Oryctolagus cuniculus: one gene and its partners. The protein of the gene in region 3 purifies or fractionates together with the protein of the main gene of each other region. This does not show direct contact. Links are inferred from orthologs where the notes say so. Each region holds a gene or a part of one and is shown on either strand. Other genes may lie near its edges. The genes, in order: SMARCD3, SMARCC2, DPF2, SMARCD2, BCL7C, ARID1A and ACTL6A.

The links.
Region 1: the proteins of DPF2 (region 3) and SMARCD3 purify together in Homo sapiens (affinity purification with mass spectrometry; 3 studies listed by BioGRID and IntAct, counting the BioPlex papers as one, with this or other methods). This does not show direct contact. The link is inferred for Oryctolagus cuniculus from reciprocal best matches to the Homo sapiens genes DPF2 and SMARCD3.
Region 2: the proteins of DPF2 (region 3) and SMARCC2 purify together in Homo sapiens (affinity purification with mass spectrometry; 8 studies listed by BioGRID and IntAct, counting the BioPlex papers as one, with this or other methods). This does not show direct contact. The link is inferred for Oryctolagus cuniculus from reciprocal best matches to the Homo sapiens genes DPF2 and SMARCC2.
Region 4: the proteins of DPF2 (region 3) and SMARCD2 purify together in Homo sapiens (affinity purification with mass spectrometry; 6 studies listed by BioGRID and IntAct, counting the BioPlex papers as one, with this or other methods). This does not show direct contact. The link is inferred for Oryctolagus cuniculus from reciprocal best matches to the Homo sapiens genes DPF2 and SMARCD2.
Region 5: the proteins of DPF2 (region 3) and BCL7C purify together in Homo sapiens (affinity purification with mass spectrometry; 4 studies listed by BioGRID and IntAct, counting the BioPlex papers as one, with this or other methods). This does not show direct contact. The link is inferred for Oryctolagus cuniculus from reciprocal best matches to the Homo sapiens genes DPF2 and BCL7C.
Region 6: the proteins of DPF2 (region 3) and ARID1A purify together in Homo sapiens (affinity purification with mass spectrometry; 6 studies listed by BioGRID and IntAct, counting the BioPlex papers as one, with this or other methods). This does not show direct contact. The link is inferred for Oryctolagus cuniculus from reciprocal best matches to the Homo sapiens genes DPF2 and ARID1A.
Region 7: the proteins of DPF2 (region 3) and ACTL6A purify together in Homo sapiens (affinity purification with mass spectrometry; 5 studies listed by BioGRID and IntAct, counting the BioPlex papers as one, with this or other methods). This does not show direct contact. The link is inferred for Oryctolagus cuniculus from reciprocal best matches to the Homo sapiens genes DPF2 and ACTL6A.

What each region holds. Positions count from the first base shown.
Region 1 is NC_091438.1:22,579,621-22,583,918, forward strand, and holds the start of SMARCD3 (SWI/SNF-related matrix-associated actin-dependent regulator of chromatin subfamily D member 3), read left to right. Parts: upstream 1-1,498; 5' UTR 1,499-1,692; coding exon 1,693-1,770; intron 1,771-4,298. UniProt on the Homo sapiens protein: Involved in transcriptional activation and repression of select genes by chromatin remodeling (alteration of DNA-nucleosome topology).
Region 2 is NC_091442.1:58,981,423-58,984,922, forward strand, and holds part of SMARCC2 (SWI/SNF complex subunit SMARCC2), read right to left. Parts: intron 3,233-3,500; coding exon 3,108-3,232; intron 1-3,107. UniProt on the Homo sapiens protein: Involved in transcriptional activation and repression of select genes by chromatin remodeling (alteration of DNA-nucleosome topology).
Region 3 is NC_091432.1:6,292,617-6,296,592, reverse strand, and holds the start of DPF2 (zinc finger protein ubi-d4), read left to right. Parts: upstream 1-1,176; 5' UTR 1,177-1,403; coding exon of another isoform or gene 1,404-1,435; intron 1,436-3,976. UniProt on the Homo sapiens protein: Plays an active role in transcriptional regulation by binding modified histones H3 and H4. Is a negative regulator of myeloid differentiation of hematopoietic progenitor cells. Might also have a role in the development and maturation of lymphoid cells.
Region 4 is NC_091448.1:14,883,575-14,886,623, reverse strand, and holds the end of SMARCD2 (SWI/SNF-related matrix-associated actin-dependent regulator of chromatin subfamily D member 2), read right to left. Parts: intron 2,972-3,049; coding exon 2,876-2,971; intron 2,759-2,875; coding exon 2,657-2,758; intron 2,535-2,656; coding exon 2,373-2,534; intron 2,245-2,372; coding exon 2,147-2,244; intron 1,992-2,146; coding exon 1,856-1,991; intron 1,683-1,855; coding exon 1,560-1,682; intron 1,447-1,559; coding exon 1,345-1,446; intron 1,273-1,344; coding exon 1,219-1,272; 3' UTR 501-1,218; downstream 1-500. Other genes in the region: PSMC5 (26S proteasome regulatory subunit 8), read left to right, coding at 1-93, 183-269, 359-412. UniProt on the Homo sapiens protein: Involved in transcriptional activation and repression of select genes by chromatin remodeling (alteration of DNA-nucleosome topology).
Region 5 is NC_091450.1:6,250,678-6,254,633, reverse strand, and holds the start of BCL7C (B-cell CLL/lymphoma 7 protein family member C), read right to left. Parts: upstream 2,801-3,956; 5' UTR 2,589-2,800; coding exon 2,497-2,588; intron 1,941-2,496; coding exon 1,862-1,940; intron 1,551-1,861; coding exon 1,442-1,550; intron 1,334-1,441; coding exon 1,172-1,333; exon of another isoform or gene 946-1,171; intron 856-945; exon of another isoform or gene 1-855. UniProt on the Homo sapiens protein: May play an anti-apoptotic role.
Region 6 is NC_091438.1:144,806,946-144,811,182, forward strand, and holds the start of ARID1A (AT-rich interactive domain-containing protein 1A), read right to left. Parts: upstream 2,801-4,237; 5' UTR 2,739-2,800; coding exon 1,569-2,738; intron 1-1,568. UniProt on the Homo sapiens protein: Involved in transcriptional activation and repression of select genes by chromatin remodeling (alteration of DNA-nucleosome topology).
Region 7 is NC_091435.1:100,236,305-100,239,804, reverse strand, and holds part of ACTL6A (actin-like protein 6A), read left to right. Parts: intron 1-268; coding exon 269-369; intron 370-1,547; coding exon 1,548-1,645; intron 1,646-3,500.

The DNA of each region.
Region 1 (4,298 bases), on a different chromosome or scaffold from region 3:
TGAAGCCCTGGTAGGAAGGGGGAATTTCTGGGTCCCCCCCACCAGGCCAGAGGTAGAGCCTGAAGCAGAGACCCTCTCTGCCTTTCAGTAGACAGTGGGAACCTACATGGGCGCTCACAGCCCCGCACGCAGTCGGGGCCCAAGGGAAACCAGGCTGCAGGCAGAGTCTGGGCAGAGCTGTCCCGCGTTCTTTGTCCTGAACTCCCCAAGGCAGGAGGGCCAGGACCCGCAGGGCAATGCTGGGTCTTCAGGGCCCAACTTCAAGTAGGTGTCCCGTTGCCCCGCCCTCACCTGTGTTGACACCGCAGCCCCAGCAGGCCCTTAAACTTGACCCTCTGTCGTCCCAAAGCCCACGGGCCCCTCCTCCGGGAGGAGGAGATAGGGGCGTGGCCTTGGGGCATGGGCGGGGCCAGGGCGCCCAGTCTGGGGATCTCAGGATTCGCCCCTCCTCTTTCCTGTCTCTCCTCCACCCCAGGGACTGCCAGCTCCCTGCACACCGCCCCTTCGGGGGCTCGCTCTCACCCCACCCTGCGCCCCGGCTTCCTCTGGGATGCTGAGGCGGGCCCGACCCCTCCGGGGTCCGCACCCCTAGGCCCTCAAGCCCCGCTTGTCTCCTGCTTCCCAGACGCCCCCACCGAAGCCCCCAGCCCGGCCCTGCGCCGCCTCGCCCCGCGTTTCCCCCTCGCTGCGCTCTCTGAGCCCCGTCCCCGTCCCTCCTTCCGAAATACTTGCCCTCCTGCCCTCACTTTCTCACACAGAGGCAAACAAAGACCCACATACCCAGAAATAGCCTCGCGCGGAGCGGAGCGCGGCGCAGGCCGCGTCCCGGCCCCACGCACGCGCGCAGGCCTGGCGGCTCCCGCGCAGCGAGGCCCCCGGGCGAGGCGTCCGTCCGTGCGCCCTCGTCAACACCCGCAGCCGCCGCGCCGGGCCGCAGGGTGCGGACGCCGGCCGCCAGACAAGGGCACAACACACACACACACACACACACACACACAGCCGTGCGCGCAGGGAGCGCCTCCTCCCCGGCACACCCGGCGCGGCCGGCCTCGGCTCCCCCCCGGATTCCTGCCCGCGAATGTTTCCCTACTTGGCCTGCCAGGTCTCTGGGGAAAGGGCCTCAGAAATGCAGCCGGAGCCTCTCGGGGAGGGAAGAAAGTTGGAACTGACTGTTCCCTGCCTGGCCCTGCCGGCGAATTCCCTAACCGAGCAGCTATTTGTGGCGAGAGCCCGGGTGGCCGGCGAGCCCCCCGCCAGCTCCCCGCGCGGCCCTCGGGCGGCTCCGGGCTGCAAGCGCCGCTACCCTGCGCCCAGGCGGGGCCGGGCTCGCCGCGCACCTCGCCGCTTATCTGCGCTGTTTGGACAGCGCGGGCTGCAAAGGCCGGCGTCCCCGTCCCCGCCGAGTCAACAGGCAGACCCCGGGCCGCCGGACTATTTCTGTCTTATCAGTGCAGGAATGCGGCAGCCGCGGCGGCGGCGGCGGCAGCGGCGGCGGGCGGGCGGCGGCGGCGGCGGCGTGGGCCGTGGGCCGTCAGGGCAGCCCTGAAGGGGCCCCCTCCCCACTCCGCTCGAGTAGAAGTGTGAGAGAGCCCAGCAGGACTCAGAGGGGAGAGTTGGAGGAAAAAAAAGGCAGAAAAGGGAAAGAAAGAGGAAGAGAGAGAGAGAGTGAGAGGCGCCGCTGAGCCCACCCCGATGGCCGCGGACGAAGTTGCCGGAGGGGCGCGCAAAGCCACGAAAAGCAAACTTTTTGAGTTTCTGGTCCATGGGGTGGTGAGTGGGGGAAAGTTAGCGGGGGAGGGTGAGCGAGCTGGCTCGGGCTGAATGGAGGGATGGCCGGGAGGGGCCGGGAGGGCGCTCCCGCGCGCCCACCCCTCCGGCGGGGGCGCCGCGGCCACAGCCCAGCGCCGGGACCGTGCCGGCGCCCTGGCGTGCCAACACGTCGTCAGGCGGCGGGCCGGGGATGGGCGCGCGCGGCGGGGAAGGCAGGCGACTGCGCGGGCTCTTGTCAGGGGCGGGCGTGGGACTGGGGGACTCCCCCCACCCAGGTGGGGGTCCCCTTCTGTGGCCGACATGTTGTCTGGGTTCCCCAGCGGGCCCAGGTGTTACCCCTTCCCCGGGGGTGGGGGCGGGGGACGGGGACGCGGCGCAGCCCTGTTGGGTTGTCTGTTCACATCCGTTGGGACGGTGTCACTCTGTTTCCAGAGCGTGGAGCAGGTGACCCTGGAGGCACTGTGGGCGCGAAAGCCCTCTGGCTGAGCAACCTCTGTATCCTGGCAGGAGGGCACTGGGGCATTTTCGGCGTAGCCCCTGCCATCAGGGTCAGGGAGAGGCTCCCTCTAGGGACAGACTCCAGGTGGAAGGAGTCCGAGCGTCCCCTTGGCAGACGCCTGTCCTTAATATCTCCAAGGTGTGAAGAAAGGGCCGGAGTCGGGGACGTGAGGCCTAGGGATCCCAGGGACAGGGCAGCCCCAGAGGCACGTGGGAAGCCCCAGGCAGCCTCAGCAACCCGAGGCAGGGCACGGAAGAGGCCTGAGCTGGGTGGCTCGGGGGCCACGCTGGGTGTGGAGACGCGAGAGGGGACGACGTCAGGTTCACTGCGGCCACATTTGGCCGTGACCCCCCAGGAGGGCACCTTCTTGGTGAGGGAGGCCAGAGTCCCTGAATCTTGGCCTGTTGTGGGGGTGGTGCTGGTGGCTGGCACAGCTCCCTGGGGGCCCTGGAAGCCTCCCAGCAGAGCAGGCAGTATCCCTGGCCTTGACAGAGAGGGAGCCCAGCTGATAAAGCCAAGGGGGTTCCTGGGTCAGCCTGGCCTCCAGCGCTGGGCATCTCTGGGGTCGACTTTCCAGGGCCTGCATGTCCACCAGCTGCATCACCGGTCCTAGCCTTGCTGCTGCGGGGAGTTCCTTTGAAAAGGCCCAGCTAGCAGGGAGAGAGGCTCGACATGGGTCTCTCTCTCTCTCTCTCTCTCTCTCTATATATATATATATATGGCCAACTTAATGCTTCAGTTCTTAGGTGGCTCGGCGCCCCACCATCCCCACTCCCAGTGCCCCATCTAGGCTGGCGGAGAATGGTCACCAGCTAGCTCCATTCTGGGTTGCCACCCTGGAAGCATGAGTGACAGGGTCAGGTGGGGTGGGGGGAGGCAGACACATGGTCGGGCAGGTTTCACTGCTGGAAAGATGGACAGAGACAGCTGCTGGCTGGGAGTGGGAGGGCTTTAGGGGCAAAGTCAGGGGCAGCATCGGGGCGTCTCCTTGGGCCTAGGGTGAGATAATGGAGTGGATAAATGACAACAGGGGCCCCTTGCTCCCCAAGATTCCTGCTTTTCCCAGTCCCCATCCCACCCACTCCCCTGCTGCTACACAAGCCCCTGAAACCCTCATATCCCTCCTGAACTCTGGACAAGTGGCAGTAGCACTTCACTCATTTGCATCTCATTTACACCCCATCCAACCACCTAGGGGCACATGACCCACCTCATCTCCCTCTCCACCACCCTCTTTGAAACCTGGCTTCACTGGGGTGGGGGTGAGCAGTGGAGGAAGCCTGCTGGGTGTGAAGCCTTGGCTGATGGCTGATGGGTGCGGGTGGACACGCTGCTTCCTTTGACCTGGCCCAGGCCCCCTGGTAGCTCACCTCCAGCCCAGCTCCCCCTCCTCCCAATCAGAATCCTGGCAGGCTGTGACGTCAGCCCCTCAGGTGCCTTTGCCCTTGCTCTGCCTTCAGCCTTCACCCGGGGAGCAAATCTTGGGGTCCAGCTTAGTTGCTGAAGCCTCTGGGTGTGGAGTCAGCTGGAGGGGATGGAGTTTGGGATGCAGAGGTCCAAAAGCAGGGCGTGGAGAGAGGAGGGGGCAGCTGAGGAGGAGCCGGTGCAAGGCAGAACAGCTGGAGGAGTGGAGACCAAGAGGGAGGGAGCCGTAAGGAAAGTCAGAGCAGGGAGCTCAGCCCCTAACTTCAACGAAGCCGCAAACGGCAAAACGCTGCGGCCCTCAGGAACCCGGAGCCCTTCAGGTGTTGTCCTAGCCAAGATGAGCTGCGTGACCTTGGCGAGGTCGCCGTTCTCCTTGAGCCACAGTTGCCTCGTCTGTCAAGTGGGAATGAGAGGACCTGTTCACTGAGTCTGGCAGAGGCGCGTGAGGGTGTGAACCTCCTTTGGAAGGTGGAAAGGCGCCATTGCCAGTTACTGTGCGTTTTTGCGGTACCTTCCGCAGCTCCAGGCTCGGCAATGCCCTGGACAATTGCCTGGCTTCAGTTAGCTTCCTGCAGCGACACGCCAAGCCCCCTCCGCCGAAGCC
Region 2 (3,500 bases), on a different chromosome or scaffold from region 3:
CATATCCTACTTTCTCAACAAATTTTCTCCATTTGACTGCAAAACATAGCAACTCCCTCCAGCCCCAATCATTCCAGGGCTTGAAACACTCACTACCTTCTTCCCTTCTCCAACCAAAAATACCTGTGACTACTCTCTACACTTATATTCACAAATAATTCTTTTTTTTTTCTTGACAGGCAGAGTGGACAGTGAGAGAGAGAGACAGAGAGAAAGGTCTTCCTTTTGCCGTTGGTTCACTCTCCAATGGCCGCCGTGGCCGGTGCGCTGCAGCCGGCACACCGCGCTGATCCGATGGCAGGAGCCAGGTACTTATCCTGGTCTCCCATGGGGTGCAGGGCCCAAGGACTTGGGCCATCCTCCACTGCACTCCCTGGCCACAGCAGAGAGCTGGCCTGGAAGAGGTGCAACCGGGACAGAATCCGGCGCCCCGACTGGGACTAGAACCTGGTGTGCCGGCGCCGCAAGGCGGAGGATTAGCCTAGTGAGCTGCGGCGCCGTCCCCACAAATCATTCTTGTCTGTGACAGGCCCCTACCTCCAACTATGCGTCTGTAAGCTCGCAAAGGACTCGGTTTAATTTTCAGCAAATCACCCTCTAGGGCAAACGTAGAGGGCGTCTGGCCTATGGGCCATAGAAGTCCCGCAAAATCATTTGGTCTGGCACTACCAAGGCAACTGCAGAGAGGACTCAAAATTCAATAAACCTATAGCTGGCTAATCTCTAATAATTTGGTATGGCCTGCAAATGATTTTAGAAATATCCACATGGCCCGGCCCTTGGCCAAATAAAACTTCCCCCATCTCTGCTGTAGAGGAACAGTTATGTTCTTAAACATTTTTGAAAGCATAGGACAGGGCTGGCGCTGCGGCTCCTCCGCCTTGCAGCGCTGGCATACCGGGTTCTAGTCCCGGTCGGGGTGCTGGATTCTGTCCCAGTTGCCCCTCTTCCAGGCCAGCTCTCTGCTGTGGCCAGGGAGTGCAGTGGAGGATGGCCCAAGTGCCTGGGCCCTGCACCCCATGGGAGACCAGGAGAAGCACCTGGCTCCTGCCATCGGATCAGCGCGGTGTGCCGGCCGCAGCGCGCCGGCTGCGGCGGCCACTGGAGAGTGAACCAACGGCAAAGGAAGACCTTTCTCTCTCTGTCTCTCTCTCTCACTGTCCACTCTGTCAAAAAAAAAAAAAAAAAAAAAAGAAAGCATAGGACAGGGCTGGCGCTGTGGCACAACAGGTAAGGCCGCTGCCTACAGTGCTGGCATCCCACTTGGGCGGTTCGAGTCCTGGCTGCTCCACCTCCAATCCATCTCTCTGCTATGGCCTGGAAAAGCAGTGGAGGATGGCCCAAGTCCTTAGGCCCCTGCACCCGTGTAGGAGACCTGGAGGAGGCTTCTGGCTCTTGGCTTTGGATCAGTGCAGCTCCGGCCGTTGCGACCAATTGGGGAGTGAACCAGCAGATGAAAGACCTCTCTCTGCCTTTCCTTCTCTGTGTAACTCTGACTTTTAAATAAATAAATAAATCTTAAAAAAAAAAAAAAGCTCAGGAGAAAACAGTGAAGACCTGACTGATAAGCAGGTAGAAGCCAGAACTCCTCTCAGTGGCTGCTCCAACCCCATCCTGAAATATACTCCTGGAATACCTCAAGCTAGTCTATGGAATACAGATCATAAGCCAGTTTTGCAAAACGATGGCCTCCAAAGGAAAGTTATCATATCAGATGCAAAAATCATCCACTGGAACACAGGAGAGGCCAGAACTTCCCATTGTATTTGTTTTTATTATCCTTTACATTTTTTATTTTTTAGATGTTTTATATTTTTTATTTGAAAAGCAGAGAAACAGAGATCTCCCAATCGCTGGTTCACTCCCCAAATTCCCACAACAGCCAAGACAGGGCCAGGCCAAAGTCAAGAGCCCAGAGCCCAGTCCAGATCTCCCAACTACTCGATCCATCATCTGTTACTGCCCAGGGTATACATTAGCAGGAGGATAGAATTAAAAGGAAATTCTGGACTTGGAACCTGAACTCAGCACTCCAATACGGGATGAATCAACATTTTACCCACCATACCAAACACCCACTCCACATGTATTTTGTAATGACCCTAAGGTAGTGACTGGCTTCATAGTACCCATAAAGAGTATGTGCTCGAATCTATCTTACCAACAGGAGTGTTTAAGGAAAAAGAGTTTGGAGGAGCAGGCATCTGGTACAGTGGTTAAAGATACCACTTGGGAGGGCAGGTGCCGCGGCTCACTTAGCTAATCCTCTGCCTGCGGTGCCAGCACCCTGGGTTCTAGTCCCAGTTGGGGCACCGAATTCTGTCCTGGTTGCTCCTCTTCCAGTCCAGCTCTCTGCTGTGGCCCGGAAGGGCAGTGGAGGATGGCCCAAGTGCTTGGGCCCTGCACCCGCATGGAAGACCAGGAGGAAGCACCTGGCTCCTGGCTTCGGATCGGTGCAGCGCGCCAGCCGTAGCACCCATTTGGGGGGTGAATCAACGGCAAAGGAAGACCTTTCTCTCTGTCTCTCTGTCTCTCTCTGTCTCCTTTTTCTCCGTCTCTCTCTGTCTCTCTCATTGTCTAACTCTGCCCGTCCAAAAAAAAAAAAAAAAAAAAAAAAAAAAAGATACCACTCAGGATACTGATATCCCAGATTGGAGTGCCTGGGTTCAAGTCCCAGCCCACTTCTGATTCCAGCTCCATGCTGGTGTGTACCCTGGAAGGAAGCAGGTGATGGATGGCTCAGAGCTTGGGTGGGAGAGCACGTGGAGAGATCCCATGTGGGAGATTCTGGATTGAGTTCTGAGTTCCTTGCTTCATAACCTCGCCCAGCTGTGGCTGATGTGGGCATATGGAGGAGTGAGTCAGCATATGGAGACTCTTTCTCTATCCCTCTCTGCTTTTTAAACAAAATGAAAATAAATAAATAAAAATTTATGTTAAAAATGTGTAAAGGGGTCATAAAAAAATTTGGAGATTTGGAGATAAGTACTGTCAGGTATAAAGCAGCACAACTCAGATATGGGTATGAAGTTACAGGATTTCCCCTGGTAATGAAAATCCTATCAATAACCAGCTGTTTAAGGGAATTAGCCTGGCCCGGCCCATACCTGTTTTGGGCAGTGTCACCTCTTCTACATTGGGGACTGGTGAGGGCTCATCCATGTCCTTTGTCAGGTCTTCTTGCTCCTCCTCTCTGTGGCCACGCTTTGACTTGGTGTAAGGTGTTGAAGGGCTGGGAAAGAGAGAGTAAAAGAAAATCCAGTCATCCTCGGATGTTGAGGTTCAAGGAAGGGAAGCAAGAATCCCAAGGGTAGCGCTGCAGGGTAACAGGAAGTGGCAGAGGCTTTTCATTTGGTGATGAAGCTCTCTGAGTGAGGTGATGGCTGGGACTGGAACTGTTGGGAGCTCAGGACACCTGCGGTATATGGCACGTCCAGGTCACGGCTGGAAGATTACGGGAAGGACTTGGTCCTTCTTTCCTTCACCCTGGTGTGCAGAGA
Region 3 (3,976 bases):
GGGATGTATAACAGTCCTCGCCCCCCAGTGCCAGCTCCTGTCCCCTCTCCTGCCCTCTCGCGATAATGAGTCTGTTGTGTAACTTGACGTAAATGAGCCCGTACAGTGTGTTCTCGTGCATCTGGCCTCTCTGGATCGATATTAAGTGCTGGAGATTCGTTCGTGATGTGGTAATCCCTCGTTCTCATAGAGGGAGGGGCTTGCTGGATCATAGGGCAGGTGCACTCGGATGCTTAGTGCTGGCGAACTTTCGCAAACTATGCATTCAATTTTACTTGAAAGGCGGAGAGGGGGAGGACAGAGAGACAGAGATCTTCCATCGCTGGTTCACGTCCCGGGTGCCGGCCACAGCCCGGGCTGGCAAGCAGCAGCCCAGGACCCAGGCCAGATCTGCCCTGTGGGTGGCAGGGACCCAAGCGAGCTCTTCTAACCTCCTAGGGTGCAGGAGGTTAGCATGGGGAGCTCTGACCCCCGGGGCCCCGCAGTCCTCTGGGTAACAGGATCGTGCCGGCTTCCCTTCCACACTGCGACACCACTCAAACTCAGGTGCGGTGCAGGGTAAGCAACGGCCAGTTCCTCTCGACTCCGACCAGGCAGGCACCGTCCTGAATCGCAGGGACGGAAGACACGGCCTCACTCGGAAATGCTAACACGTGGGGGCAGGCCCCAGGCGCATCTTGGAACTGGCGCTGCGAGGGGCAAGGACGAAGCCTGGGGCGCTGGGCCGGGGGCGCCTGAGCGCGGGAGGCGGCCGGGGCAGGGTCTGGAAAAGCAGGGACCGATCAAGAAGCCCACCAGGACACAGAGCAGGTCTCTCAGTCTGCTGGGGTCGACCCTGGGCGACTCCGTCGGGAGCTGATTCCAGGGCTCCGCTGGGGCCCGAGTCGCCATTCAGCCGGGTGGAGGAGAGACCCGGCCGCCAGCTAGCACCGAGGCTGCCCGCGCTTAGGGGGCCGGAGGTGCGGCGCGCCCCTCTCACCTCCCGCCGCCCGCACCGCACCGCACCGCACCGCACCGCACCCGTGCGGTAAAAGCGTTAACCGAAGCCACAAAGGTCGGCGAGGAGCCAGGATACGTCCAGCCCGTCTCTGGGCCTCCCGGCTTCCGCCAGCCTCTGCCGTCTCGGTCCTGCACCGGCCCGAGCGCTCCCTCGCTGCGCTAAACCCGAAGGCCGGGCGCCCCCCGCCCAGAGGCCCGGAGCTCCTCGCTCCCCGGCGCGCACAGGCGGCGCGTGCGCAGAGACAGGGCGCGCGCGCGGCGGCGCGGTGGGCGGGGCACCGGCGCTCGCGAGCAGCCACGGCGCGTGCGCACAGGGACGCGGCACCCGGGGCCCCGCCGCGGCGCCGGCGCCTGCGCGCTGCGGGCTCCGGGCCCTCCCGGCCTGAGGGAGAGGAGCAGGGAAGATGGCGGCGGTGGTGGAGAATGTAGTGAAGCTGTGAGTGGTCGTTTCTTTCTCTCCCAGGCGGAGAGGTCTTGTGAGGGGCCTGGGAGTAGGGGGCGGTGCGGGAAGAGAGGAGGCGGCCGGGGGGACGGGCCCGGGAAGGCCGTGGTTGCCGCTCCGGGTGGGGAGTGCGACGCGGGGGGGGGGAGGACTCCGGAGAAGACGTTGCGCCTCTTTGGAAACTTGTGGAGGCCCTGGGCGGGGGGCACGCGGGAGCCCCTGCCCCGCGGCCGCTGTGCGGGGCTGTGTGGGAGCCGCCGCGGGGCCTGCAGGTCGCGGAGTGCGGCGCTCAGGCTGCGGCCCGGAGGAGCCGAGCCCAGGCCCCGGGGGGCCCCGGCGAGTCCCCGCCACGCGCGGCCGTTGGCCCGGAGCAGCAGGCTCGGCGGTCCCTGCGGGGCTGGGGTAGCAGGTGCGCAGGACGCAGGCAGCGCGGAGAAGAAGGGAGAGAAGTTGAGGGGGAGCGGGGCCCGAGCGGGCCAGGCCGGGGGGCGTCCTCCGGGCGACCCGGAGCCGTCGTGCGGGTCAGGGGTCGGGCAGAGCTAAATTGGGTGGTGGTCGGGGACCTGGGGGATGCTGCGGGACTTGGTGACACGAGCCAGCCGCCTGCCCCCCGAGGAAGAGTCCGGTGCGTTGGGAAGCGGGCTGGTGCCCGTGGGCGAGCCTGGGGTGGCCTTGTCGCCGCCGCGCGGACGCGTCTGGCCGTCCAGTTAGGGCTTTTTGGATTCTGGCTGGACGCCAAGGTCAGGTGCGGGGCGTGCTCTCTGGACCCCGCGTCTCCTCTTTGTGGTGGCCGAGCAGGTCGCCTCCCCCTGCCCGCGGCGCTTTCCCCGGTTCCATTAAGCTAAGTGCCTTCTCCCTGGCTTGTGGTTTGGTTTTTTTTTTCCTGACTTGCTTCTTGCTCTGTCCTGCTGCCCCTGGGAGCCAGCCCCCCGCCCGACGCGGTGGTTTCTGCGATCTGCCCACGCCGGTTCCCCAGCTCTGGGCTGGCGTTTCCCTCCCTCTGATGCCTTCCTGACTCGCGGGCTCTTTGTTTGCCCGCCGTGCTCTTTGTTGACCCCCCCCCCCCCGGGAGGGCCCACCTAGGCTCGGTTCCTGAAGCTTCTACCTGGGAAGCCTGTGCTGCGGCCTTGCCGGGTTCTGAGGGGGAGGATGCCCTTGGCCTTGGCAGCTCGGCTTCGCCCGCCGTCTGAGCCAGGGGGTCGGCCGCGTAGCTGCAGCCTGGCTTTTCAGGTCTCGGAAGAACCGGAGGGATTGTGAAGGTCATCAGCCGCCGACTCCGGGTGCCGACAGCGAGACCCCAGCTTCTCTGGGGGCCGGGACTGCTGCAGGCTTCCCTAGGAGGCTTCGCGCCCCTGCACCGAGATGCAGTCCCTGAGCCCCCGTCAAGGTCAGGGCCGCCCGCAGCTCGTCGGGGAGAGGGTGTTCTCTTTGTGAGTGCTCTGTCTCTACCGTGGTAGCAGAGTGGACGCCCCCTCTCGGGTCTCGCTGTGAGAGTACGGTGGTGCAAAACAGTGGTTTGGGAACTCTCTGAGTCAGGTACCAGAGCTGCAGGATAATTTACGTGAGATATCTTGCTACACGGCCTTGCGTTCCTAAGACCGATCTCTCGCTCTCCTCGTCAGATGCTTCCCACAGTGCCCACTGCGGTGTCCTTCCCAGCCCCGTTACCCCAAGACTGCCGCTTGCCCCGCTTCTGAAGTCCCCTAGGGTCCCCAGAGCTCGACAGAGCGTCTCACGCATCCCCGAGCCCTGCGGCCCGCGGACCCTTCTGTTCCCAGCGTCAGCGTCAGTCGCATCAGCAGAAACAGCCGCTGCACTGAGCCTTGTTTGTCCAGTTTCCTCTGCGTGGGGAGGACGTGGCTGCCTCCTCACGGCCAGCGATGGGAGCCAGCCCCGCTCAGGTCTCCAGCGCAGGGTCCTTGCCTGCATCCAGGCGGACTGTGCTTGGGCGATGCCGTCCCGCGATTGCCTGCTGGGGATGAGGGACGCTCCACTGTGCCGCTCACCGAAAGCCCCCATCCGATTGCAGAGCAGGGTTTGTTGGTGTAGCGCCAGAGGTGGGCATGAGCCCGGGAGACGTAGCGCGTGCAGCTCCTCACGCCCGGGGTTGCCTGCTCGTGGGTCCCTGGGATGTCAGAGCTCAGCGAGTGCAAGCTCCCGAAAATGCGGAAGAGACACTGAGGTCCATGCAGGGTTCGTGCAGGTTGACTAAGTGTCCGTGTTCGCGTGCTGACTTGGAGCCCGGCAAGGCCGTTTTATTCCCAAGTCCGGATTGACGGTGTTGCAGATGTTTTCATGGGTATTAGGGAGACTGGGGAGAGAAGTCACCTGTGCCCTCACTTTAAGAGGGATATATTGGCCGGCGCCGCGGCTCACTAGGCTAATCCTCTGCCTTGCGGTGCCGGCATACCGGGTTCTAGTCCTGGTCGGGGCGCCGGATTTTGTCCCGGTTGCCCCGCTTCCAGGCCAGCTCTCTGCTGTGGCCCGGGAGTGCAGTGGAGGATGGCCCAAGTGCTTGGGCCCTGCACCCCATGG
Region 4 (3,049 bases), on a different chromosome or scaffold from region 3:
AAGATCCATTCTCGGAAAATGAACCTGACCCGGGGGATCAACCTGAGAAAAATTGCTGAGCTGATGCCAGGAGCGTCAGGGGCTGAAGTTAAGGTGATCAGAGACTCAGGGAAGGAGGGCAGGGTAGAAGTTCTGGGCCCTGGGGCCCAGTGGTAGAGCCTCAGCTCCCTTCCCCTGTTCAGGGTGTGTGCACAGAGGCCGGCATGTATGCCCTGCGGGAACGACGAGTCCATGTCACCCAGGAGGACTTCGAGATGGCAGTTGCCAAGGTAGACGCCTCTGACTTCCTGCATTTGCTATTGATGGCGCTGGAGCAGTGGGCCAGGGCCTGTGCTCATTACCGGATTCTCTCTCTCAGGTCATGCAAAAGGACAGTGAGAAGAACATGTCCATTAAGAAACTATGGAAGTGAGCCCTGCATCCTTGGTGTGGACCCCTCAAATAAAGCTCTGTAGGACAAGCCTCTCCGCTCTGTTCAAATGACCAGGTCTGGGCACCACCAATAAACAAAAGGATTTATTTGGAAATTTCCAAACCTGCCAGAAGTGGCACTTGCCAAACCCTAGGCCCACCCTCCCTACCAAGCTCCAGAGGGCAGCAGAGGGTCCTGGCGGGCCCGCCCCGCCCTCCGGCATCCTAGGAGATGATGGCGGCTGGAGCCGCTTGCATAGATTCAGGAAAGAAAGGAAGGAGGCACCAAACAGGGCTCCCTGAAAAATCCCGACATACGCCTGTACAAAATAAGTGGCTCCCACATAGAAAATCCTGCTCCCAAATAGTGCAAATACCCAAAGGAAAGGAAAAAACCAGCAACACAGCTGGGCTTCTAGGAATGACAAAGAACTTTGGTTTCAGGAGGTTAGGAAGAGTCTGGGCTGCCCCTCATCTTCCTTGCCCAGCTCCCCCAGCCAGCTCTCCCGCTCGCCTGGGGAGGGGCCTGTAAACATGCAAACCCAGCGCCTTTGGTTCCAAAACAAAGCACAGCCTCCAGGCCTGCCTGCAGGGGGCAGAGGAGACATCCTGCGAACCCAATTAAAGCCAACATGGAAAGTAAGGAATAAGGCTTTGGGAACCAAGCAACAAGGAATCCTACCACTACATTTATGAAACTAAAGTTGGGGAGTAGAGTGACAGACAGCCCTCGCCCCCCAGCCAGGCCCCGGTGGATGGTCCCCTACTAGGCTCCCGGGGGGAAGAAGGAAGCGATCCCTGAGCAGTTTAGGTCAAGCGGATTCCCAGCACCTGTTCCAGTTCCTGCCGCCGCTGCTGCACCTAGAGGAGGAGGAGACCATGCTCAGGCCCCTGCTGTTCACAGCCGAGAAGGGCAAACAGGCAGTGCCTCACCTTGGCAAAGATGTGCCTCCCCACTGCTTCCTGGGCCCAGGGCTGGTGGTAGAAAGCAGCTCGCCTCTCCTCCTCGGGATTGCCAATCACATCAGTGATGATCTGCCGAGAGCCAGGAGGAAAGCAATGACATTGGTCTGATTGCCCCTGGAACTGGGGGGTGGGGGTGGGGGGGACCATCATGGGGGCTTCCCCTTCAGGAAGGAGGACTACACCTTGAGGTCCCGGCGCTGGGAACGGAGCCACTCCTGGATGAAGTCCTGGGGGTCGGTGCTAAAGCTGAGCATGAAGTCCCTCTGGGTTTTCAGCTGGTTGATGGACTCAATGGTCTCATGGATCTGGGAAAAGGGGTGCATGTGTCAGACTGGCCCTCAGCTTTGGGGGTCTGTTCCCAGGCCTAAAGTTGAAGGGCGGCACCAGAGAGCCCATCCTGCAGGTGCTGCAGGCACAGAGGCCAACAGCTGCCTGCCTGCACCTGAGCCACACAAGCTTGTGGAGGCGGAGGGCCCACCTTGACATCAAGGGATGCGATTTCCTGCTGATTGGTGGTAGAAGCCAGAAAATTGCTCATCTGGGCTTTCAGTGGGTCGTCCACTTCCACATCTATGTCATAACAGGCCGTCTTCTTCTGGTCATTAGGGTCCACACTGAGAGCACACAAAGGGAGGGGGTGTCTGTGCTGTCCCCCTGGGCCACACCAGTCTATACACACACTTGGGGAGCAGGAAACCAACCCGTAGCGTCTGTGGCTTCAGATGAAAGCAGAGGTGAATCTGCTTCCCATCCCCCTCCTTCCAGTTACCTAATGACGTGGTTGATAACAATGGGATCTGGATGCTGCAGCAGCCCAGCCAACTTCATGGGAATCTCAGAGAAACGGAGTCGGCCACAACTGAAGATCTGGAGAGGGGGAGAGAGTCCCGAAGACTTGGTGATACCTGAGGGTTTGACGGGTTCTAGGACCACTGGGCTGCAGGGCAGCAGCCTCCGGGCAGGGGCTGAGAACAGGATGGCAGCATCCGGCTAACCTGGCGGAAGTAACGGTTGCAGTTGATGTACTCGCGCTCGTGCCCATCCTGCAGCTGGTTGTGTTTGATGTAAAGCCACAGGGCCTGCATGATGGCAGCCCTGGTCTGCGTGTGCACTCCTAGCAGCCTTGCCAGTCGGGGGTCCAATTTGTACTGGGGAGGCTGGAGAAGAGGGAGGGAGGGGGTGGTTCTTGTAACAGGGCAGGGACAAGAAGGGCTCAGAAGCGCCTGCTCCCCTCCCATGCCAGTCCCCAAGGCCCAGCCATACTCCGGGCTTCTGTCACCTGATGATCCAGCATGAGCAGGAGGGTGCACTTCACATTGAGGTCTCCAGGCCGTTTCACCTGGAAGCCATCTGTCTCCTGGGTGGTGGGCATCCGGTGCCACTGGCAGGGAGGAGGGAAGCGGCTGAGCATAAGGGGTGACCATGAATAAACTCCTGGTCCTCCAAAGGCACCGAGGCCATTTCCCTGCTGGCGTGCCAGCCCCAGGCTCCTTCTCACCTCCACCAGGTGGTTGTCAGGCCCGTACAGCTCCTTGTCCAACTCGATGACGAGGCTCTTAAAGAATGAAGAGAACTTCCTCTTCTGTTTGCTAGGCTGGGCATGGAAGAGAGCGTGAGGGCGTGCTGCTGGGTTCTCTGACAAACTATGCTAAGTGCACAAGGAGGAGCAGTT
Region 5 (3,956 bases), on a different chromosome or scaffold from region 3:
GTCAAGTGAACAGTCATTCCCTGAGCAGCCACTCTGTGCCCAGAGGTCAGACTGGGAGAAATGCACGCACGTGCGCGCGCGCACACACACACACAGGCAGCTGGACAGAGAGAAAGGGGCCCAGGACCTGGCTGAAGTCCCAGCCCCAGACTGAAGCAGGAACACTTATGCAGGATCTGCAAAGCGGTGTAGCTTTACCAAGAAAAACACACTTCAGACAAAGGGAACGCAGGGTAGTGAGCACAGGTCCTGGAGTTCAGCGGCCGCCTTCAGATCCTGGCCTTGGGCCGGCTCCTTCCGTCTCTTGGGGCCTCTCCTTAGCCATCCATAACATGGGGCCAGGGGTCGCAGTTGGTGCATGACTCTCGGGAGGAGGAGGCGAGGTAGTACAGCTCAAAGTGTTTGGCACCCAGCACGTGCGCCAGAAATGCCAGTTACTGCTTCTCTATTAGCACAGGTGTCCAGGCTCAGCCCCTAGGCCCAAGCCGTGGCTTTGGTGGCGGGCAGGGCACGGCGCACAGGGGGCCCTCAGCGTCCAGCTCAGGGGGCAGAAGGAGCCACAGCAGGAAAATGAGCCCCACCCGGCCCCCCGCTTCAGGCAGAGCTGTGCTACAGCTGCGGGGCGGCTGGAGCCAGGCTGTGGCCTGGGGAGGCCACGCTGGGCGGGGGTGAACTGGAAGAAAGAGGAGCTGAGGAGCCTCAACCTGAAGACGCTGTGTGAGCTCGGGCGACCGACTTAACCTTGCTGATCTGCCTCCTCAGCTACAAACAGGAAGCAGGGCAGGCTAACCCCTCCGAGGCGGCGAGTCAATGAGATAAAACAGAACAGAGTGTTTGGAAGGCACCTGGCACGCAGTAAGAGCTCAATCAATAGCGCCCGTGAGTAGCTTCGTCTTTTAGTCACTCGACAAACATTGATTGAGCACCTATTATGCGTCCCACTAGACTTGGAGGATGCCGTGAACAAGATCGGGGAGGGCCCGACCTCCAGGAAGCCGACACGAGACGGGGCAGGAAGACAGTATGTGAGCAGCAACTGAAATTGATAGGGAAATGCCAGAGGAGACGGCAGGGGCGGGCACTGTTTCCACGGGGCTCATGGGAGAGGGGCAGGTAGCGGGGTGAGCTGCTGGGCGCAGAGAAGGGGGCTCTGGGTGGCACCTGATCCTACCTCTCTCTTGGCCCAGCCGTGGGGGCTGAGCCTCCTCAGGGACCCCTTCCGGGGCTCCGGCGGGTGACACAGGGCGGCTGGGCTGTGGGGTGCCCCCGGGGCTGGGCTCGGTACCCTTGTGCAGGGAGCCTTCCGAGTGGAAGCTCTGGTTGCTGTTCTCATCTGCAGAAACAAGAGCCCAGAGGGTCGGCCTGAGGCCCCCAGGCCCCTCCTCCAGGTCCCACAGCCACCCCTCCCCGCCCCCGGCAATGCCTGGGCCCCCACACATACCATTGAGATCTAGCAGGATGAGCGGGCCGCCCCCTCGGGGACTGGCACCCCTGCCTCGCCGCTCTCGGCCACGGGATCGCTCTGCCCCGCCACCTGCCCGCCGCCGCTCCTGGGGGTGACAGGGATGAGGATCAGAGCCAGCGTTTCCCGGCAGCCCTGGCAGAGCCCCACGGGGACAAACGGGGAAACTGAGGCACAGAGAAACCCAAGGCCCAGCCAGAGGTGACAGAGGCTGTGCGTGCTGGGTTAGCCTTGCAGGGGGGGGGTCTGGAGCAGGAAAGGGGGAGGGGGAGGGGCAGCCGAGTAATCCTGAACATCTGGGCTGCGGTAGGCACTGGAGGTGGAGGCCAGGGTGGGGAGGAGCTGGGCTGAGACTGCACAGATGCAGGGTCTTGGGGGGTGGGGGGTGGGCTTGCTCACCTCCTCCTGGGGGTCCACCACCGGCACCCACTTGAAGATGCGAAGGGAAGTGTCGCCCACAGTCACCCAACGCTTCTCCCTGTGGGAGGGTGGGGTGCTGGGTCAGAGAGGCCTGAGGGGAGAGGCGCCCCCCCCCCCCGCGCGCACCCGCCTGACCCGCCGCCTCCGCCTCTGCCCCAGGTACCACATCTGCAAGGTGGGGGAGGTGCACGAGGGTTGGGGCGGTTTTGCGAATGAGGCACTGTTGGAGAGAGCGAGCCCAGGGCAAAGATGGGGAGGGGGCGCCCCGGGCACGCCTCGGGGCCATGGCTAGGGCAGAACCCCTCCGGAGGGAGGGGGCCATCCCTGGGGACGCAGCTCGGAGCCCGGGCCATACTTGCAGGAGTGTCAGAGCTTCAGGGGGCGGGGCACGGACGAGGGCTCCCGCCCGGCGAAGGCACGGCTGGGGACCACGCTTTGTAGACCTCCGGGGGTAGCCCGGGGAAGGGAGACGGAGCCCTGGGGATCCCGCGCACAGCTGGTGGCCGGGGGCGCACCTAACACCTGGGGGGCGCAGCTGGCGAGGGGAGGGGAGGCGCGCGAGGGGGCGGTGGTCCCCGCCAGGGTCCCGGCCCCGGCCGCGGGGCAGCGCTCACCATCGCCGGACTTTCTCGATGGTCGCCATCACCTTCTTGATGTCATCCTTGGCCCGGCTCCGGGTCTCAGCCCGTACGGTCCGGCCGGCCATGCTGGCGGCGCTGGGGCCGGGGCCGAGCCCGCGGCGGGGCTGCCTCCCGTCCGGCGGGCTCAGGCTCGGCGCCAGGCCGGGGCGCCGCTCTCGCCGCCCGCCGTCCCCTCCGGGAGTTGGCCGCGCCCTCCCTCGCTCCCCAACGCCTCCGCGAGTCCCCGCCCCGCTTCCTGCCGCCGCGCCCCGCCCCGGCCCGTCCCCGGAGCGGCCGGGCGGCGCGGGTGCCGGAGCCCAGGCCTGGAAGCCGGGCCAGCCCCGCCCCGCCCCGGGCCCGCCCCTTCGGGGGCGCCCGGACGCGCAGCGCCCCCTGTCCGCCGCCGAGAGCGAGCGAGAGTTGGGGGCCCGCTGGCTCGGCGACTTGGACGCGCGCGGCTCCGCCGAGGCGGCGCGTCCAGACCACGTGGGCGCTCGGGTGCACGAGAGGGTCTGGGTGCAGGTGTGCGAACCTGAGACACCGTGTGTGTGTCCCCGGACACCCCCTCCTCCCTCGCCGGGCTGGCTGATTCTACGCTGCCCAACTTAATTCGTTCACCCATTCATTCATTCAACGATCTAGCAGCCCAGTGCCAATTACGCGCCACAGCTGCACACATGAGTGAGTCTCCACCCCCCAGGATGGCTATAGCGAGAACGACAGGCCATACCGAGTGTGGGCGGGCCAGCGGAGCCGCGCGGCCTCCCTTCTGTTTCTGGGGGAGTGGGAATTGGTAGAGACTTTCCCATGAAGCTGAACAAAGACCAGCCCAGGAATCCAGCACGTCAGCACCCAGCAGAAATGCTTAGACAGGAGCACCAAGAGCCGTGAGCTGGGATGTTCACAGCCGCGTTCTTAACAGCCCCGAACCGTAAACGGCTTACCAAGAGGAGACTGGGAAGTGGGTTGCAGCTATTGATACCCAAGACAGAGACCCAGCGGGCAAGAATGCCCGCTGTCCCACTACACCCAGCGACGGGACAAGTCTCCCTCAGCAGATCTTGAGTTTAAGCCAGATACACCACCTGGTTCTATTTCTATGAAGTTCGAAAGCAGATAGGAAAATGTCAGGATTAGGAAGCCGGGAGGGTGTCTCTTTCGGGACTGGGAGGGGTCCCAGAGGGGCTTCTGGGAACCCATCATGTCTGTTTCCTAATGTGGCCCGGGCTCCCTGGGCAAAGTTCCTCTGAAAATTCATCAAGCTGGGCGCTGGGGATGTGTGCGTTTCTCCATCTGTGTTTTGCAGTTGACTCAGAAGTTTCCTTGCAGAAAATGATTGGTTGATTCGAAGGCTCCTTTATCAGCAGATCTGATCGTGTCTAAATCGGTGCAGCTGTGTGTGGCTGTCCTGTCTCTGACCCTGTCCAGAGGGGTTACAGGATTGGGAAGACAGC
Region 6 (4,237 bases), on a different chromosome or scaffold from region 3:
AAACAAAAAACTAGCCTTTTTGTTATTCCAGGAAGAGACAATAATTTCGCCAAAGCAAGCCTTCAGGAGAAAGTCCCTCAACATCATGAAAGACACCAGTTTCTCTTTAAGTTGCTCTCCCGAAGTCTAATTAACAAAAGAAAACTGTTAACAAGATTCAACATGTAAACAAAGAATGAGGCCAGCCTTGCTTAAAACAGAACACTTGAATCTAACATGAAATTCCCAAAGAAAGCTCCCCATTTTAAAAAGGATTACAGTGATAACCAAAAATGCCCCCTCCCCACAAAGGTCCCACATTTGCCACTCAATTAAAAAAAAACCAAACAGCAAAATAATTTCAATTCTGCAAACAGTGTCAGAATTACTCAAGATAAATGCATCTTCACAGTCATCAAAGAAGTCATTTATCCCATCAGGAAAGTCACAAAACCAAAACAAACAGCAAACCCATTGTAGAGAAGAAACTCAGCTACTGTTCGGACAACACAGAATCTATTTCAGGCTGCATAAAATATAACAAGCAAAATAAATCCAAGGTACAAGCAAAATGCCATGGCCTCCTCTTTTGTTTCAGGCACAATGTAACAAGGGCAGCCTGTCTGGGGCTCTGCTCCTGCTGATACAGTATTGCGGCTTAAACCTCCCTCCTCAAGGTCACAGCCAATTTCAGCTCTGGAATAAAAAAGGCTGATAGTGGCAGCGATGGTTTGGGTTATCACTGGCAGAAAAGCAGAGTGTAAAAGTTTATGAGCTCATCAGGATTGTTGTACCATTACATCAGAGGCAATTATAAATGGCCAAGAGCAGGAGATGGGGAGCCAATCAGATCACAGATAGGATGTCAACCTAAGACCAACTGTCTCCTGGCTTTGACAGAAGGATTTTACCTCCATAATTCAAATCCCAAACCAAAGCAATCTGCACTTACTACTCCAATCACTCAGCTGTTTACCAGCGCTTCCAGGGAGAAGCCCAGGCCACTGGGCCGGCGGAGACCAAGACAGGCGATGGCCGGGCTGCCCGGGGTGAACCGCAGCCGGCCTCTAGCTGCCCCCAAGAAGGCCCCTACCCTCCCGCGAGGTCCCCCGGGCCCGAGGGGCCCCTCCTCGAGAGCACAGACGGGGGACGGCCTAGAGACAAGCAGGGGGCACAGAGAGGAGCGGCAGGCGAGCAGGGGGACGCTCGCTCGCCTTCCGGGGCTCCTACCACCGCTTACACCCCTGATCTGAGCCCCCGGCACCCCCTCACCCCAGGCCGGGCCCTTCCCCGCACACTCTGCCCCGCACCCCCCTGAAGACCCGCGGAGTTCGCAGGGGCCAGGGGAGGGGGAGCCGGGCAGCAGACACCTCTGGAAAAGCCCCACACAAAGGCTGAAGGAGGGAAGGAGAAGAAGGCAGACAGGCAGCCATTTTAAGAGAGAAGAGCCAGACAATGGCAGCTCCCCAGCAGTGGGGGCCCGGGACCGAGCGGAGCCCACGGCTGGGGCCTGCTCCCCGCAGCCGCCACCCACCCCCCCACCGCCCGGCCCAGCTCGCCCCAGCCCCCCTCCCCGCTCAGCTGTGTACCTGAGGGGTCCGGGCGAGCGGCTGCCCCCCGCCGCCGCTGCTCCCGGGGCTCATGGGCGCGTGGTGGCTCCTTTGTTGGGCCCCTCCCGAGGCGGCCGCCGCCGCCGCCGCTGCCGCCGCCGCAGCCCCCCAGCACTGCGAGGCTATGTCCGCCGGGCCCTTGCCGGCGCCCCCGTCCTGGGGCCCGCCGCCGTAGTCGCCCCCGGGGTAGCCCTGGTAGCCCCGGGCCGAGCTGGGCGACGTGAGCAGTTGGTTGAGGGTGGGGGTGGCGGTAGGCTGGGGGGTTCCCCCGCCGGCCGCGGAGGGGCCGCCTCCCCCCATGGCCCCGAAGCGCTGCTGAGCGAAGGACGAAGACGACGAGGAGGCGGAGGCGCTGGAGGAGGGAGGCGGCTTGGAGCCGGCGGCCGCCGCCGCGCCGGAGCCCGGAGTGCCACCTCTCGGGGAGCTCAGCGCGTAGGCCTGGGGGGGCGGGGGGTAGGCGCTGCGGTTGGGGTAGTAGGAGTTGTACTGGTGGTTGGGGAAGCCGTGGTCGTGCGAGTTCTGCTGGGGCCCCGCGTAGGGCTCCAGGCCCCCGCCGCCACCGCCGCTCTGCAGCGCTGCCAGGCCAGGGCTTTGTTGTCCGCCATGTTGTTGGTGGAAGACGGCGGCCGCCGCGGCGGCGACGGCAGACGGGCTCCGGCCGTAGGGCTGCCCGAAGCCGTAGGCTGGGGGCGGCAGGGCGGCCGCGGCTGAGTGAGGAGGCGCCCCCACCCCGTCGCTGCTGCTGCCGCCGCCGCCGCCGCCGCCGCCGGGCGGCTCCGTGAGGTTATTGTTCAGGGCGGGCCTAGGGCCCGCGTTCCCGTTCGAGTTCTTCAGGTCCGGCTCCGCGCCGGGCCCGCCGCCGCTGCCGGCTCCGCCGCCGCCGCCACCCCCATTGCTCTCGGCCCCGTCCTGCAGCTCCTTTCCCAGCGGCTGCGGCGGCCCCACGGCGGGGCCCTCGCTTTCCTGCCCGGCGGCTGCCTTCATTTCCCCGCGCTCGGCTGCTGCTGCTGCCGCTGCCGCCTCGCCCCCCGCCTCCTCCCGCTGCTGCTGCTGCTGCTCGGCTTTCTTCAGCTCCGAGGGCGGCGGCGGCGGCGGCGGCGGCGGGTTGCCCAGGCTGCTGGCGGCGGCGGGGGCGACCTGCGCGGCCATGATCCCCGCTGTCTCGTCCGCGGAGAGACCCGGCCCTGTCTTCGTCGTCTCCCCCCCTCCCACCCCGCCCCGGGGCCGAGTCCCCCGGGCTGCCCTCCCCACCCGCCCGGGCGGGCCTCGCGGGGCTCCGCTGCTGCGCTGCGCTCGCTCGCTCGCTCCTCTCCCCCCCGCCCCGCCGGCTCAGGCTCCGGGCTGGCGGCGGCGGAGGAGGAGGAGGCGGCGGCGGCGGCGGCCGAGGCGCCGGCGGCTCAGCTGCTCCCGGCTCTGCAGGCTCGGGACCCGGCTCTCCCGGCTCATTCCCCCCAAGCCCTTGCCTGGGAATGAGGGGGGCGGTGGAGGCTCCGCTCCCCAGGGCCTGGCCCCGCTGTGACTCTCCGCTTTCTGCTGCCGGAGAAAGGAGGAGGGAGGGAGGGAGGGAGGCGAGGGGGAGGGGGCGGGGAGGGAGGGAGGGAGCGGGGGGAGGGGGACCCGGGACGGGCGGGCTGGAGGGCGCGCGGCAGCAGCCGGGGCGCCGGGAGGCAGAGTCGGCGCGCGCGGGCCGGGCCGGGCGCCCTGCCTCCCCTCCCCGGCCGCGGCTCCGGCCGCGGCTGCTGCGCGGCAGCGGGCGGGCGAGCAAGCGGGCGGCAGGACTGAGCGGCTAGAGCGCCCCACTCTCCTCCGAGTCCCCCTCACTCCGACACGAGGCTCAGCACTGCCATTTTACCCAGCGCCGTCGCGGCCGCCTGGCAAACCCGGAGTGGAGCGCGGAGCGGGTGCCGCCGCGGAATGGACTCGCTCCCTTCCCCTCACAAAGGAGGAGGGGAAGAGAGCGAGCCGCGGCGGCGGCAGGCCCTCGGCCGCTTTCGCTCGGCAGCACCGCCGCCGAAGGCTTCGGGGAAAACCCGGCCCGGAGCTCGCGCCCCTCCGGAGCCTGCGCCGCCTCCCTCCCGGCGTGCCGATCCCCGGCCGGTCCCCTCCCGGCCGCACCGTGGGGAGCGGGCAGCGTGAACTTTACCCGCGCCTGCAAAATTGGCCAGAGCCCGAGACCGCGGCCGCCTCGGCCCAGGCCTGACCCCCCTGGCAGCGAGCCTGGTCTCTTGGCTGTTACTTAGCACCTCCACAGCACTTTTCTTCTTGAAAGCCTTTTTACAAACCGGCCCCAAAGACTCAGCCGAGAGAGCCCTGCTTTCTAACCCCTTTGCAAGGGCCGAGCGATCATTGTTCAGACTCTGCGTTTTCCCACTCCCCTGCCCTCATTAGCTGGTCTTGACAAGTCCCCGGGGGCACGAGGTCGGGATTATCCCCATTTTACAGAATTGAAAGACCGAGAGGGGAGGACACTGCCCAGGTCATTTAACGTCGGAGGGTGGGGGGTGGGGGAGCTTTAAAAAGAAGTGGAGTCTCCAAAGCTGCCTCCTGTCTACTTAGCCTTTAAAGAAAAAAAAGTCAAATTGTGAGCAAATGCAGCAATGGGGTCAAAATATCAGAATAGATCCAAACTCCCAGCTCTGTCATCAAGC
Region 7 (3,500 bases), on a different chromosome or scaffold from region 3:
GGAGAGACCCAGAAGAAGCTACTTGCTTCGGCTTGGTCCAGCCACAGCCGATGCGGCCATCTGGGGAGTGAACTGGAAGAAGGAAGACCTCTCTGCCTCTCCTTCTGTCTCTGTAACTCTGACTTTCAAATAAATAAAAGTAAATCTTTAAAAAAGTGGATTATATTTATTAAAATATTAATTGCTAAGTCAAAGAATCACTCTCAAAAGATACTTTATTCATCTTCAGCCAAGCATTTGTTTTCAAGCTCTTGCTCTTATATTCTAGTTGAAGACTGGGATAGTTTCCAGGCTATTTTGGACCATACCTATAAAATGCATGTCAAATCAGAAGCCAGCCTGCATCCTGTTCTCATGTCAGAAGCTCCGGTGAGACAAACACTTCCGTGTTTCTTTAGTTGTTCTTTTTTCCTTTAGTTTTCAGCTCATTTGAAGAATATTTGCCTTTTTCCACAAAGAAGTTTAAAAAGTTATATTTTGAGTTTGAAAATTAGGGAAGGGGGAATTAATTTCTAACTACTATCATAACTTTTATTATTTCAGTAAAAGATTCAGAGAACTATAATACACAATAATGGGTCCTAGTAGTTATCTACATTTCCATGGATTTAAAATTTATTTTCTTGAACTGCCTCCCATTCTGGATTATGCCCCAAGGTCATTGTAAATCTGCTTTTATACTCAAGCTCCAAGAAGTCAGATGCTTAACAAGGGCCGACTGTTTCTATGAAGTCTCTTGTGAAATACATTTAGTACCTAGCCAGAAAGGGCCCAGAAGGCTAGCATAATAACCAGCATGATCAATATCTTTTTTTTTTTTTTTTGACAGGCAGAGTGGACAGTGAGAGGGAGAGACAGAGAGAAAGGTCTTCCTTTGCCGTTGGTTCACCCTCCAATGGCTGCCGCGGCTGGCGCGCTGCGGCCAGTGCATTGCACTGATCCGAAGCCAGGAGCCAGGTGCTTCTCCTGGTCTCCCATGGGGTGCAGGGCCCAAGCACTTGGGCCATCCTCCACTGCACTCCCTGGCCACAGCAGAGAGCTGGCCTGGAAGAGGGGCAACCGGGACAGAATCTGGCACCCCAACCGGGACTAGAACCCTGTGTTCCGGCACCGCAAGGCGGATGATTAGCCTATTGAGCCACAGCGCCAGCCCCATGATCAATATCTTGTTGCTGTTTCTAATTATAGTTTCTTTGGGAGCACCAACTATAAAAGGGAGAGTTTGGTGTTTTAAAATTAATATTTTATTTTGATTACCAGATATGCTCTTAAGATTTAATAATACTTTGTTTCTGAGAATCCTGATTTCCTTGTATTTTTGAAAAGCTTATACTTTCTGGAATTCATAGTAGTTTTACTAATTATAATAAATTTAATTTATATCTGATTTGTCATACTTGTTTACAACAAATGTAGATATTATAAAAGGTCATTTACTATGCTTCATTGTTTTTAAATTTTTGCTAACATAGTACTATAATGTAGCTTGAGGTAAGTCAGCATTTTAATTCTTAATAAGTAATTTGCATTTCTTTATTTTTTTTCAGTGGAATACTAGAGCAAAGAGAGAGAAATTAACAGAGTTAATGTTTGAACACTACAACATTCCTGCATTCTTCCTTTGTAAAACTGCAGTTCTGACAGCGTATCCTTGAAAGAGTAGTACTCAGCTTTTCTCTAGAAGAATATATGCTGCTGCCAAAGATACAAGACAGTCCTGGCAGAAGACGTGAGCCAATTCTCACTCATTCGGAAGTTGCTTTTTTCTCTATACCTTTCCTTTTTAGCTGTCTGACTCATATTGAAACTGATGATATACCAGAAGATGTGAGAAGAAAATAGGAAAGTGACATTCAGATCATATTTGCTTTTTTTTTTTAAAGATTTATTTATTTATTTGAAAGTCAGAGTTACACAGAGAGAGGAGAGGCAGAGAGAGAAGTCTTCCATCCAATTGTTCATTCCTCAATTGGCCGAAATGGCTGGAGCTGCCCCGATCCGAAGCCAGGAGCCAGGAGCTTCTTCCAGATCTCCCACATGGGTGCAGGGGTCCAAGGACTTGAGCCATCTTCTGCTGCTATCCCAGGCCATAGCAGAGAGCTGGATTGGAAGTAGAGTAGCCAGGTCTTGAACCGGTGCCCATATGAGATGCTGGCACTTCAGGCCAGGGCGTTAACTCGCTGTGCCACAGCGCCGGCCCTGAGATCATATTTGTCAACTTGTGTGTGTGTGTGTTTTTTTTTTAATAAAGGGAGTGTGGCTGTACAACAGTGTTTTAGCATATTAGCTAAAATGAATGCAAAGATTGCCATTTCCTCTCTCACTTCTAGTATCAAACAAAATTGGAATTTGGCTATAAATTCATTTGAGATTTAAGCACTCATCAGAAAGTTACTGCAAACACTTTAAAGATAAGGAAATATTATGTCTTGAATGCAAAGAATTTGTAATTTAAATATTCTTCTTAAAAGCTAAGTACTGTAACAGATTTAAATAGTACTTCAAAACATTGGCAAAATTCTTAAAGAAGTACTTGATTAATCTGAATTTTTTGTATAGTAATTGTGATAGTTCAGAGGAAGAATATAATAGCTTGACAGTCCTTTATAAAGATAATAGGATACAGTCATTTGAAGTAGAAGAAAGAGCTCTGCACTTAAGGATCCACTGTTTACAGAAGTGTGGTCCTGAAACATGAGACTAATGTTTTACTCATATAACCTGTATACCTCCCTGGCTTGCTATCATATTCAAGTAAGTTTTTGTATACATTTGAGAATCACTGTGTTAACAGTTATCTAACACTTTTATGTAGTGCTGTATCTCTGAGATGGCTTTAGCAAAAGTGCAAGTACTCTCTTGACTCTTCTCCCATGGGCTCCTATTCTCACCCGTGTCATCCCCAGTTTACAGTTGGATGTCCCAGGAATAGCTTAGGTGGTCCCTCCTTTATACCCCCTGCCCCAGGGTATTCTAGACATTTTACAACTTTAGTGATCTGTTTGACTAAATGAGATATCCTTCAGGGCAGACAGTTTCTGTTCACCTTTATGTGTACTCTGTGCTTAAGGAATCTGTGCAACAGACTAAATAGGCACATAATAATTATTCAATAAGTACTTGAAGAAATGAATGCCCCTGGTCCTAAACATGAGTTTAGGGTGTTCATGTGATATAGGCCTTCAGCAACACAGCTGTAGAAATGGGATCTTGTCGTATTCACTGGATATCCAATACACCTGGAGTAGCTCTTCTACCCCAGTGAGTTGGAAGAAGTGGGAATTGCCACTCAACTGCCAAACTACTGAAATGATTCCTCAGTGCTACTTAAGAATGGGTGTAGTCCCTGGCTCAAATATCACACATCCTACTCGTTCTTACCAAGTTGCTATACATTTTGTTAAAGAAATGCTTTTCGGCCGGCGCCGTGGCTCAATAGGCTAATCCTCCACCTTGCGGCGCCGGCACACCGGGTTCTAGTCCCGGTCGGGGCGCCGGAT